Linked DNA regions of Arabidopsis thaliana. The protein of the gene in region 1 interacts with the protein of each later gene in a pairwise test. Each region holds a gene or a part of one and is shown on either strand. Other genes may lie near its edges. The genes, in order: SEC and MYB30.

Region 1 (8,257 bases):
TTACTAACAAACGTTTTGTTCACGAAAAAGATAGGAAGAAACAAATGAACGATAGTAACAAAAGTTAGAAAATCCTCATCATATTGCATAAGATAGGAAGAAACAAAATAAGGATAGTAATCTTATTCAATGAGAAAAAGAGTGAGTAAACGAAGGAGGCTAAATTAGGCTTTAAAATTCGTTTGCTTCTTCAGACCCTCGAGGACTCGTTTTTTCCATTTATTATCCTCCTGCTTGGTTCGCTTTATAAAGGCGGCAACTCTCAACATGTTTTGGTCATATCGACGCTGTTCTAGAATGGGTTTTCGTTTCCTTTTGCCTCCCGGAGGTTGTTTGATTTGCATTGAATTTGGAACGTAAGGGCACAAATGTGGCCTACACTTTATGCCGGCTACATGTACTCGGAGATCCAATTCTCTAAAATATCCAGTTTTTCCAATGATGTTGACTCTGTGGTGATCAAAAACCATGGAGACTTTCTTCTCCTCGTCAATGAAGAAACTCCCATGTATATATGCAATCGGCATGTCAGCCAATGGTCCTGTATCCATTTCCAAGATCTTGCTCCACGACACTTTATCATACTCGATCTTAGTCGTGATCCATATCTCAAACTCATATGGATTCCAGTCGTTGTGCGTAAGTAAAGCCGCAAGCTTCTCTTCTCTAACACAAGATAAAGTCACATAGTCATCATGGCCAGCGCTAAACGGTAGACGCAAAAGTGGCCCAAATCTCTCACTTGTGAAATCAAAACAGATTATGTGATCGTCGATTTTGTTTATTGCGTTACTTTTTGTAGCACAAAAGTAGGTATTTCCCTTGAGAGAAACACCACGCTGATAACACGATACTATCCAATATGGAGGGACATCAAGAGTTGTCCATAAATCGGTTTCAATATCGTAGATTTCATACCATGAAAACCGGTTTTCGGGTGCGTGGTTCACGGCCGAAGAGATGTAATGATCTATAAACCTCAAGACTTTGTGGCTACGACAAGAGTTGTTCTTGTTCACGTACCCTAGAGCGTACCTGTACATGTCCATATCCTGTTCTACGCGGTGCTGCTTCTTTACTAATGTGCAGCTTCATAAAGCTCTGACTTTGGGATAAAGCGTACAACGTTTTGCAAGTTAATTTCAATGTCCTCATATACTTCATGGGAAGTCTAGATACAATATCCTCTATCAAATCCCTTGGAAGATTTAAGATCATCGTTGTCGTTTTCTCAAGTTGCAACAAGGTTTTTTTTTTTTTAACCTTAAAAAAGTGTTCTTCTTTTCCTCTGATTTTTTTCCCGCAGAAGACTATACATAGGAATTTGAAGTTGGGCCCAATCGTGGGCTTCAGAATCTTCTCTTGTTTTCTTTTTGGTAATCACATTCATAACATCCAAGTTCTTTACCAACAATGACCATTTGTATGGGGAGAGCATCAAGTTTGTATGAAGCTGGGCTAACTATGGGCTTATTGGAATTTAAAACAGTATCTTAAATTCCATCTTTAATTGAAACATTTGATAAGTGGAAGCTGCCAAAACACGCGTCCATCTTTAATTAAAATCAAATGTGAATTGTTTTCATTTTTGTGACATTTAATATTTACTTCTAGAAAAAGAAGATCAAGTAAACATGCAGTTAAGTTCAAATAAGATTAGAATTGTGATACCCTTGAATTCGATTTAGTATGCAATTTTTTTGTATTTAAAGAAAATATATTGGAGTAGACAAAGAGAGGAAGATATTGTAAATTTTTTGTTATTTTCTTTTCTCAATATATTTAAGGTAATTAATCAGGATTACGTTTTATTGTTGGCACATTTAATGCCTTTGCGGCACTATTTGGGAAAGATTAAAGATTGTTTTTGGGTGGATTGTAAATTACAACCTTTGAGAAGAAAACACTGTTGCGTCTTAGACACGTGTTAACTAAAGACAAAAGAATTTGGTTTTGTCCAGATTTTTGTTGACTCTTTGACCCCGATACGTAAAATCAACGGCGTTGAAATTTACACGTGTCAAATATTAAGTCTAATTATATGTGTGAAATCTTGATTGGTCGGAAAGAGGAAATTGAAAAAAAGGCAAATAAAAGCTAAAGAGGAAAGACGAAGCTACAGCTTCTGAGGTCGGAAAAAACGAATTTTGATAATTTAGGGTTTTGCCCTTTTCTTCTCTCTTGCGTTATCATCGGTGTTTTGATTCTCCGGCCAAGTCCCGGAGACTTGTGATCTGGGGGAATTTGGTGTTCAATTTCATTAAGACGCGATGATCTCGTCCAAAAACGGAGCTGCCATGATCTCCCGACCTGTCTTTCTTTCCGATCGAGTTGATGAAGTCTTCTCTAGAAAGCTTGATTTGTCTGTCTCTTCTTCGTCTTCTTCGAGCCTCCTCCAGCAGTTCAATAAGACTCATGAAGGTTCTGATTTGTCACGAGCTTAAATTTTTGTTTTTTTTCGATGTCCCTTCTTTGTGTAATCGCATCTTCACAGCTGATCCTTGTGGAAGTTAGTTTCCATCTGTTTTACTAAGAACACTAGGTTGTGCGATCTAATTTTCCTTTTCTAGGTATAATTGTTATGTTACAATTCAAAGATCATTAGATTTGGTGAAATCAAACTTGCTACTAACTGCTACTTGACTTTTGGGAATTCTACTTTTGGGCGAGCAAAGTTTTTAGCTTTGTTATTTGGTTTGTTCGTTTTAGGATAAAAAAGCTAACTTCTTTTGGGAGAATGTGACTGGTAATGATTGTGCTGATGTTTACTGTAAGCGTTTCGTGCAGGTGATGATGACGCACGCCTGGCTCTTGCTCATCAGCTATACAAAGGAGGCGATTTCAAACAAGCCCTGGAGCACAGCAACATGGTTTACCAGAGAAACCCATTACGCACTGATAATCTTCTTCTAATTGGTGCTATTTATTACCAGGTACTATTTTTCTCCTTATCTCATTAGTCATTACTCTATCCTCTTGTTTTCGGTTAATTAGTTGTTTACTTGTATGGTATATACCGTGCAGCTTCAAGAGTATGATATGTGCATAGCTCGAAATGAAGAAGCTCTTCGTATTCAACCTCAGTTTGCTGAGTGTTATGGAAACATGGCAAACGCGTGGAAGGTGAATGGCTTGGTCTTTGTCTGATCAGGTGGTTTTATTGCCAATACATATATTCTTATATCTGTAATCTGCTATTTCCAGGAAAAAGGGGACACTGATCGTGCAATCCGCTACTATTTAATTGCAATTGAGGTTGTGCTATATCCAATTTATGCTTCTCGATATCTGCTATTCACTTCTCATCCTATACTGATGCTTTTACCTTTCTTCATTTCCCCTTGCTTACACTTTCTTTTCAATATAATTCTTCAGCTGAGGCCCAATTTTGCTGATGCTTGGTCGAACTTGGCAAGTGCATACATGCGAAAGGGAAGACTCAGTGAGGCAACACAATGCTGTCAGCAGGCCCTCTCATTGAATCCACTTCTGGTAATTGACTTTATGATCCTTCTTTTTAAGTTTTCTGTCTCACTACTGCTGGGAGATTCACTGTCTATCTTCTTTTGTTAGTCTTCTCACCTGGTAATGTAAACTGTTCTTAGGTTGACGCACATAGTAATCTGGGGAATCTGATGAAGGCTCAAGGATTGATTCATGAAGTAAGTCTTTCGAATTAGTCTATTTAAGTTATTCTGTTACTGTTCCAACCCGATTATCTGCAATTTTCTTGTGTCCTAGTTATGGATGCGGCCCCTAATTCTACAATTGATTGATCAAAGTTTTGTCATTGCAGAAGAACTTTTAATTGAACCAAAATATATTATAATTAAATGGACGGTGACGTGATGCACTAGGAATATAGCATCACATCTGTAGTCATTTTACTGGTTTATCAACTGCAATTACTAATAGATGCATTCATTTTTCTGTGTTGTACTGTGTCATAATCCACAATCAATACAGACATCAAGTTGTTACTGAAAGGCAAGCAGGGATGATCGTCAGTCTTATAGTCAGTGTCTACTGCCAGAGTCCAAATAGTTAGAATGTAATATTTTGTGCAGGCATACAGTTGTTACCTTGAAGCTGTTCGTATACAACCAACATTTGCTATTGCATGGTCGAATCTTGCTGGTCTTTTCATGGAGTCAGGTGATCTCAACAGAGCCCTTCAATACTACAAGGTATGCTTCATTCTCTCCTAGAAAGATCCTGTTGACATTGTGTTATGTGTGCGTTTGTCCCCCAGATTAAATTCTTTATGTTTTAACTATGTTGGCTGATTTTCTTAATTTACCAGGAAGCTGTGAAGTTGAAACCTGCATTCCCTGATGCATATTTAAATTTAGGAAACGTGTATAAGGTATGTCTACGTATAGTGTGTTAAGATATGTTCAGTGCAATAATGTTTTCTGGACAATAGTAGTAACAAAATTTTATATTTCTATGTCTTAAGGCCCTCGGGAGACCTACTGAAGCGATCATGTGTTATCAGCATGCCTTACAGATGCGGCCAAATTCTGCAATGGCATTTGGTGAGTGTAATTTGATCAACTAAATGCTCAGCTGAAATAAAATATACTTGCCAAGTAAATGCGTGACGTCTTTCATAATTGACATATAACTACTAAATGCAGGGAATATAGCCAGTATATACTATGAGCAAGGTCAACTAGATTTAGCAATTCGACACTACAAGCAGGCTCTCTCCCGGGATCCACGATTTTTGGAGGCTTACAATAACTTGGTTAGCATCAACAACACACATTTTGTGGGTTTTGTGTCTGAACTATAATTCTCAGTATCTAACATATGATATTTTTTGCATTTGGAACTTGAAGGGTAATGCATTGAAGGATATTGGGCGAGTTGATGAAGCAGTTCGGTGTTATAATGTATGTGTGTTTTCCATCTGAGACTTACTAGTGAATTTGCGTATTACTCACAAACCTGTGGTTATACTGCAGCAATGTCTTGCTTTACAACCAAATCATCCACAAGCCATGGCTAATCTTGGAAACATTTATATGGAGTGGTATGTGATCCTTTCTTTCTTTTTGCTAGATAGAAAAGACTAAATGACCATAAAATCCATTTCACAACTTGAAACAGGAATATGATGGGTCCTGCTTCCTCATTATTCAAGGCTACTCTGGCTGTAACTACAGGGCTATCTGCTCCGTTCAATAACCTTGCTATAATTTACAAGCAACAGGTAGCTACGTGCTCCATTATCAATTTTTAATCATTTTTGTAGTCTTGCTCATGTTTGACAAATTTAGCTTGTTTTCTTCTCCTTTACTACAGGGAAATTACTCGGATGCTATATCCTGCTATAATGAGGTTCTTCGTATTGACCCATTGGCAGCTGACGCTCTGGTTAATAGAGGGAATACTTACAAAGAGATCGGGAGGGTAACTGAAGCAATTCAGGATTACATGCATGCTATAAACTTCCGGCCTACAATGGCTGAAGCTCACGCAAACCTGGCCTCAGCTTACAAGGATAGGTAACCATTGTCTTTATCTTTCATTTATTAGGTATACCAGACACATGTTCAAATACCGCTTAGCTAAGAACAGAGCCAAAACATCTTTACCTTGAACGAAAAGATCTGACTCGAGAAGAATTTTGTGTATTTCATGGTTCTTGAATAGCTTATGGTGTCATATATCTTAAAATTACTTACAATTTTCCTACTTCACTAGAAGCCTTTATATCTCTACGTACAGTTCTTAAGGTGGTTTCGTGTTAGGCTCTTGTTTTCTGGGATTTAGAACATTTAAGATGTGGCAGTATAACAATGAGTTAATGACCACCTTTTAACTGAGGAGTTAGTATGTTTGACCAGAAAAATATTTGTTCTACTATTAATGTATTTGTTGCACCTTCTTGCATAAGCAGTGGGCATGTAGAAGCTGCCATTACGAGCTATAAGCAGGCCTTGCTTCTACGACCAGACTTCCCAGAAGCAACGTGCAACCTTCTACACACCTTACAGGTATTTATTTTTCCTGGTTTGATGTCACACGTCTGTTATGATAGCTTCTTTCTTCTCTACTTGTTAATTCTCCCTTCGTCTCCATTTTTTCTTTCCTGCTGCTGAACCAGTGTGTATGCTGTTGGGAGGACCGTAGCAAAATGTTCGCTGAAGTTGAAAGCATTATTAGGAGGCAAATAAATGTAAGTATTTACGCCACACAAAATTTGTGGTACTTATATACTATTACAGATTAAGGTGATAGCATATCCTATTGATCCTATCTTCAGATGTCGGTCCTTCCAAGTGTCCAGCCCTTCCATGCAATAGCATATCCTATTGACCCTATTCTTGCCCTTGAAATCAGGTTTGAGGCTGATTTTTTAATACTCAATACTCATGAAAATACATGTTTATATTATCTTTATGTATATGCCTATTTCTTATAAATCCCCTATTTTTTCAGTCGTAAATACGCTGCACACTGCTCCATAATCGCTTCTCGTTTTGGACTACCTCCTTTTACCCATCCAGCTGGGCTCCCTGTAAAACGTGAGGGAGGATTTAAGAGATTAAGGATTGGATACGTGAGCAGTGATTTTGGTAACCATCCGTTGTCACACCTCATGGGATCAGTGTTTGGGATGCACAACAGAGAAAACGTTGAGGTTTGTATCCTGCACTTGGATACTTGTTGATCCATTTCTTAGGTCTGCTCTGATTTTATATCGAGAGTTTGAGTTCTTCAACCCAGTGTTTTCTAGTGAGGCTATAAAATTCGTACATGCTGGGTTTAGTTCTTATGATGGTAGGAATGTATGGAACCGTACGGGTCCTGTGTGTGGAATATAGAACTTTAGTAATTGATGGTATATCATTCTGTATCTGCCTATCCTGTTTTTGGCTTTTCAGCAAAGTAAATCACATTTTTTCCCAGGTTTTCTGCTATGCTCTGAGTGCAAATGATAATACTGAGTGGAGACAGCGAATCCAGTCAGAAGCCGAGCATTTCCTGGACGTTTCTGCTATGTCATCTGATGCTATCGCCAAAATTATAAACCAAGACAAAATCCAGATCCTCATCAATCTAAACGGTTATACCAAGGCATGCATGCTCTGAACATTTCAGAAACTTTTTACTCTGGAGCTGTACCCATTCCTATGGAAATGTTTTTGCTAACATTGTTTGGTTTAACCTATGCAGGGGGCTAGAAATGAAATATTTGCCATGCAGCCTGCTCCGATCCAGGTTTCATATATGGGCTTCCCGGGTACCACTGGAGCAACCTATATTGACTATCTAGTGACTGATGAGGTTTGCAATTGAATTATAGTTTTCTAGATATCTTCAGAACATTTTTTTTTTCCAACCTTATTTTTTCTCTATGTCATGACTGGTTACTCTCTTTTACTTTTCAGTTCGTGTCTCCTCTGCAATATGCACATATTTACTCAGAGAAGCTGGTCCACCTTCCCCATTGCTACTTTGTCAATGATTACAAGCAGGTATGCTCCGAGAAAGTTTTCTTTACCATGTTATTGTACATTCATCAGGTCCACAGTTATTTTTATAAAACTCATCGTATAAATGCTGTTTGCAGAAAAATCAGGATGTGTTGGATCCAAATTCGAAGCCCAAGCGATCAGACTATGGACTTCCTGAAGACAAATTCATATTTGCATGCTTCAACCAACTGTACAAAATGGATCCTGAGATCGTTAATACTTGGTAAACGTTTTTCCTTAGCTTTGCAAGTTTGTTTGGAAATTTACGTATGACACCTTACACCATCATGATACCATAAATAACACTCTGTATAGATGTAAATTTATACATGCACAAACTGATTTGTTTTTATTTTTTTATAGGTGCAACATTCTTAAACGAGTACCCAACAGTGCTCTTTGGCTTCTCCGTTTTCCAGCAGCCGGAGAGATGAGGTTTCGCACATGTACGTTTGGTTCCATTCAATCGCCTAGCATTTCCTTGTTCTTTCTGCTTTCTCTATCGTTTATAACCTTATTTTTTTGACCTTATATCCAGATGCTGCTGCCCAAGGTGTACAGCCTGATCAAATTATCTTCACTGATGTTGCCATGAAGAGTGAACATATCAGGCGAAGTGTCCTTGCCGATGTAATCCTCGACACGTGAGTTCTTTTGCCTCTCAACTCGATTTATCTCTACTTCAAGATATATTTAAAAAACAACACAAAAACTCAATTCTGCCACAAGTTTACCTTCCCCTACCCTGTCCTGTGTCATTAGGCCCC
Region 2 (4,664 bases), 9.8 Mb from region 1:
CATCACAAGCACCATCCATACATCACACATGCATTCCATGTTATTAAGAAGTTGTCATTTAATATAAATCGTAATCTCAAATCATTTCTTATGTATATTTTTCAAGAATATTATGCCTCTTTATATTCCACCTCCATACTTATTATGATGATTCATATCCTTACACTTGAATGCGTTATGTGAAATAATATATACTAGTAAAAGAAAATACCAAATCTATTACAATATATTATAAAGTATACATCTCCCATTTTTGTGGCCGTCGAATTTTCGTATTACATAATTACATTCAATAAAAATTCGGATTTGCAACTTGGTACTAAAATATTATGGCAAGGAGTGATAATTCAATGTAATGATGAACTTGTAAAAAAAAAATTAAAAAAATTTCAAATCCAAAAGATACGAATCTAACCTGTAAACAAAACAAAATTACAAAGGATTACAAACTTGGTTCGACTCTCGAAATTAAGTAGCAAATTCTTGTACCTCATTTCAATTTCACGGTACAAATGTTATTTTTCTTTGAATATAATTTAATATTTCTTTAAAAAATATATCTATATTTTTAATGGATAAAAATTACTTCTTAGTAAATAAAAATAATACAAATGAAAACAGTAAGATATCTACTTACCGTTTTACTAATGGTTAAACAGAAAACGGGACATTGTACGTGGAAAAAAAACATACTTAAGCAGTTTTGTTTATGATTAAAGAAAGACCATGCATTTTCAAAGTGGTTATGTAGACAAAAACCTTTTCGAGTTTCATTCCATATGTTTGATTAAACAGCCTGTTTAACACAACTTTATTATTATATCTAACGTAAATCATAAACTTTCCACAAAGTGAAAATTTCACACTTGTACAAATTGTCATTCAAAATTCCTACCTATATAAATAAATTATAGCACAACATTGACAAAAGAGAAGAAATTAAAGTAGTCTCGTGTCTCTTCTTCTTCCTTTTCTTCCGGCCTCGTGAAAACCAAATTGATTTCATCCTTTTTACTTGTTGACATTTACATACATACACATGTTCACATAAATAGATATAGTTGTATATGACTTGTGTCTATCAATCCAAAATCTTCATTATCTACTATACCAAATTCTCATACAAATATCTCTTAATCTCTTTTCACCACCTACGATATTGACATATATAACGTACAATTAATTTCATCAAAACTTAATGTGGCTGTATGACTTGTGTCTATCAAATCCAAAAATCTTCATTATCTTGTATACCAAATTCTCATACAAATATCTCTATATTTCTTTTCACCACCTACGATAACGACATATGTAACGTACAATTAATTCCATCTAAAACTATGTTTACTATAAACTCAAATTGTGGTCCATTAACACTAATCGCGAACCTTACCCGAATAAAACGTTCAACATCATGTATTCATATATGTTTATGTAACGTAATACATATAAACGCATATAAATCTATATATGGAGAAGTCGCTAACATCATGAATGACGTAGACCATCATGTAGTTTGACAATGGCCAAAGACCCACTGGTTCAATCCAAAACAGCAATTTTTTCTTTTCTTCTATATCTTAAAAAAAAAAACTATTCGTTTTGATAAAAAAACAACCAAAACAGCAAATCATGACGCAGAGAAAATCTCGTTCGTCAAAAGACCCTTTCATTAATTTCTATTATTAACAAAGCCTATGCAATACACATAAATGCAATAGCCACTATTCAATTCTTAAAATTATCGTAGCAATAAATCAAAAGTGAGAGAGGGAGATATCATATCATATATCATTATCATGTTATCATGCATGTCCCCATTATTCTTTATTTTTTAATAATAACATAAACCAATAAATTATTAAACCCAATAATATTTTTTTTGTTTGTGTTATTAGGGTTTTTGAAAGAAGCAAGCCCACATTGAATGCCACGCGGTTTTGTATGGAGGGTAGAGACTTTTCCTTTTGCCACACAGCTGACTTTGGAGGCTTTACCTCCACTTTTGTAGTTAATGCTTTACACATTTTTTATATACTTTTATTTATTATCTATACAATTTGAGAGACCCAAGAGTCCAAGACCAAGAGGGGTCAGCAAATTTCTCTTTCTCCTTTTATATATATATATAGAAGAAGAAGTGGACATAGACCTTTGTCGCCAAGCTTAACCATTAGATCCATTTCAGAGCTAAGCGTACTAATTAGTGTACTAAGGGTAGTGTGACTCATTACCACCTAAAGTAGTTTCAATTTTCTTCTATTTTTCTTGGCAAAGAGTTATAGTGGGAAACAAAGGGAGTGGTTAATAAAGAATTAATTAGTTAATTAAGGGAGTTCAAGATCATAATGGTGAGGCCTCCTTGTTGTGACAAAGGAGGAGTGAAGAAAGGGCCATGGACTCCTGAAGAAGATATCATTTTAGTCACTTACATCCAAGAACATGGTCCTGGTAATTGGAGAGCTGTTCCTACCAATACTGGTATGTATAATCTTCATTCATCATCTCTCCTCTCTACCTCTCTATAGATTTGTATGTAGATATTATTTGGATTTAATCTATGAGAGTGAGAGATAGACAAGGAATCAAATTGGTTTGGATTGAAATTTGTGTTCTCCAAATTGGTTTTGATCTTCATTTGGTTCTTCTTTAGGTCTTTAAGATTGTGGAATCAGCTTAATGAAAACATATGTAGAAATTAGGGTTTTGTTTATTGACCATGAAATTAAGATCTAATGCATGAGATCTTGTTATTTATATATTTTCTCATCGGTTCTCAATATTTGTTCGTTCTTATAAATTTTCAGGGCTGCTTAGATGCAGCAAGAGTTGTAGACTTAGATGGACAAACTATTTAAGGCCAGGAATCAAAAGAGGCAATTTCACAGAACATGAAGAAAAGATGATTGTTCATCTCCAAGCCCTCTTAGGAAATAGGTAAAAAATAATAATGACTTTTCAATTTCTCTAATTTTGTCTCTTCACACATTTTCTTTCGAAAATTAGAAGATTTGTTTTGATTTTTAATAGAGAGCATTTAATATTTGGTGTAGATGGGCTGCAATTGCGTCATATCTTCCACAAAGGACAGACAATGACATTAAGAACTATTGGAACACTCATTTGAAGAAGAAACTCAACAAAGTCAATCAAGATTCTCATCAAGAACTTGACCGTTCCTCGCTCTCATCTTCACCATCGTCTTCTTCTGCTAATTCCAACTCAAACATCTCAAGAGGCCAATGGGAAAGGCGACTTCAAACCGATATCCACTTGGCGAAAAAGGCTCTCTCTGAGGCTTTATCTCCTGCCGTTGCACCAATCATTACATCTACAGTGACAACAACGTCTTCCTCTGCTGAATCAAGACGCTCTACTTCCTCAGCTAGCGGGTTTCTTAGGACGCAAGAAACATCTACAACTTATGCCTCAAGCACCGAAAATATCGCGAAATTGCTCAAAGGGTGGGTGAAAAACTCGCCGAAGACTCAAAACTCCGCGGATCAAATCGCTTCTACAGAGGTAAAAGAAGTGATCAAGAGTGATGATGGGAAGGAGTGTGCAGGGGCATTTCAGTCATTTTCTGAGTTTGATCACTCATATCAACAGGCTGGTGTTTCACCTGATCATGAGACCAAACCAGACATAACTGGATGCTGCAGTAACCAAAGTCAATGGTCTTTGTTTGAGAAGTGGTTGTTTGAGGATTCTGGTGGACAGATTGGTGATATTCTATTGGATGAAAACACTAATTTCTTCTGAAGAGTTTGCTTTAATCACATGGTTCTAATTTTAGGATCCTCATCTCTATTTTTTTTTTTGGGTTTTCCAAATTAACTCGCTTAGATTATCGTGAGATAAATCAGTAATAATTTTATTTATTTTCCCTCTTTAATTTACAATTAATGATGGGGTTGTTTTATATATGGCCCTGTGAATTCTGAAGGGGCCTGAAAAATGTCCACCCAATGATTTTAGTAGTATTGGTGTAAAATCCTATATCTATTTTTTATTTATTAAAATGTTGTTATTGCTTGATTTTTCTTTTGCTTTGTAACTTGTAAGTATGATTTACTTTTGAGATGTTAACCTAAAAGTAATTCTGTTACAAATTAAACATACACTGACAAAAAAATTACATATATATATTGGAGAATGACCAAAAAATGCTCGCTCATATCCGGATTAATTAGTCCTAATGTGTAGTAGCCTAGTAAGTGTGGGATATAGAATTAATAATCAAATACTTACAACTTGCACTTAATTGTCAATTTATTTTCCTTAAATTAACCGTTAACTCACTAAGGAAAACACTTAACATTTATTTTAGAGTGTCAAATGGCGCCGCTCAATAAATGAAATCTTAGATTTAAAGATAGCCTTACTATTGGTGAATTTGAAAGACCTACTAATAAAGAAAATAGTACTAGTAAAGAAAAATTAACGAAATATTTATTGCATGAAATAAATAGGGCCGACAAGGTTTAAAGAAACTAATTATAAAAAGATAAATATAAATTTTAAAAACGGGATGGATTGGCACTATAAATATTGAAAGTGATGAAGAATTAAAGTTTGACTTTCTTTCTTGTGACCTTGTGAGTTGTGTGACTTACATCACATAGTTACTAAGTATGAAGAAGTCAATATCGCCATTAATTTAG

The links.
Region 2: the proteins of SEC (region 1) and MYB30 interact in binary tests that used the Arabidopsis thaliana proteins (3 or more experiments, as listed by UniProt).

What each region holds. Positions count from the first base shown.
Region 1 is NC_003074.8:1,114,736-1,122,992, reverse strand, and holds the start of SEC (Tetratricopeptide repeat (TPR)-like superfamily protein), read left to right. Parts: upstream 1-2,059; 5' UTR 2,060-2,270; coding exon 2,271-2,421; intron 2,422-2,787; coding exon 2,788-2,933; intron 2,934-3,024; coding exon 3,025-3,123; intron 3,124-3,204; coding exon 3,205-3,255; intron 3,256-3,375; coding exon 3,376-3,492; intron 3,493-3,605; coding exon 3,606-3,662; intron 3,663-3,835; exon of another isoform or gene 3,836-4,067; coding exon 4,068-4,187; intron 4,188-4,303; coding exon 4,304-4,366; intron 4,367-4,459; coding exon 4,460-4,538; intron 4,539-4,640; coding exon 4,641-4,750; intron 4,751-4,844; coding exon 4,845-4,898; intron 4,899-4,970; coding exon 4,971-5,038; intron 5,039-5,115; coding exon 5,116-5,218; intron 5,219-5,310; coding exon 5,311-5,513; intron 5,514-5,908; coding exon 5,909-6,005; intron 6,006-6,115; coding exon 6,116-6,187; intron 6,188-6,274; coding exon 6,275-6,351; intron 6,352-6,450; coding exon 6,451-6,652; intron 6,653-6,921; coding exon 6,922-7,089; and 12 more. Other genes in the region: AT3G04250 (F-box associated ubiquitination effector family protein), read right to left, coding at 165-1,043.
Region 2 is NC_003074.8:10,909,095-10,913,758, forward strand, and holds MYB30 (myb domain protein 30), read left to right. Parts: upstream 1-2,037; 5' UTR 2,038-2,348; coding exon 2,349-2,481; exon of another isoform or gene 2,482-2,807; coding exon 2,808-2,937; intron 2,938-3,053; coding exon 3,054-3,762; 3' UTR 3,763-4,096; downstream 4,097-4,664.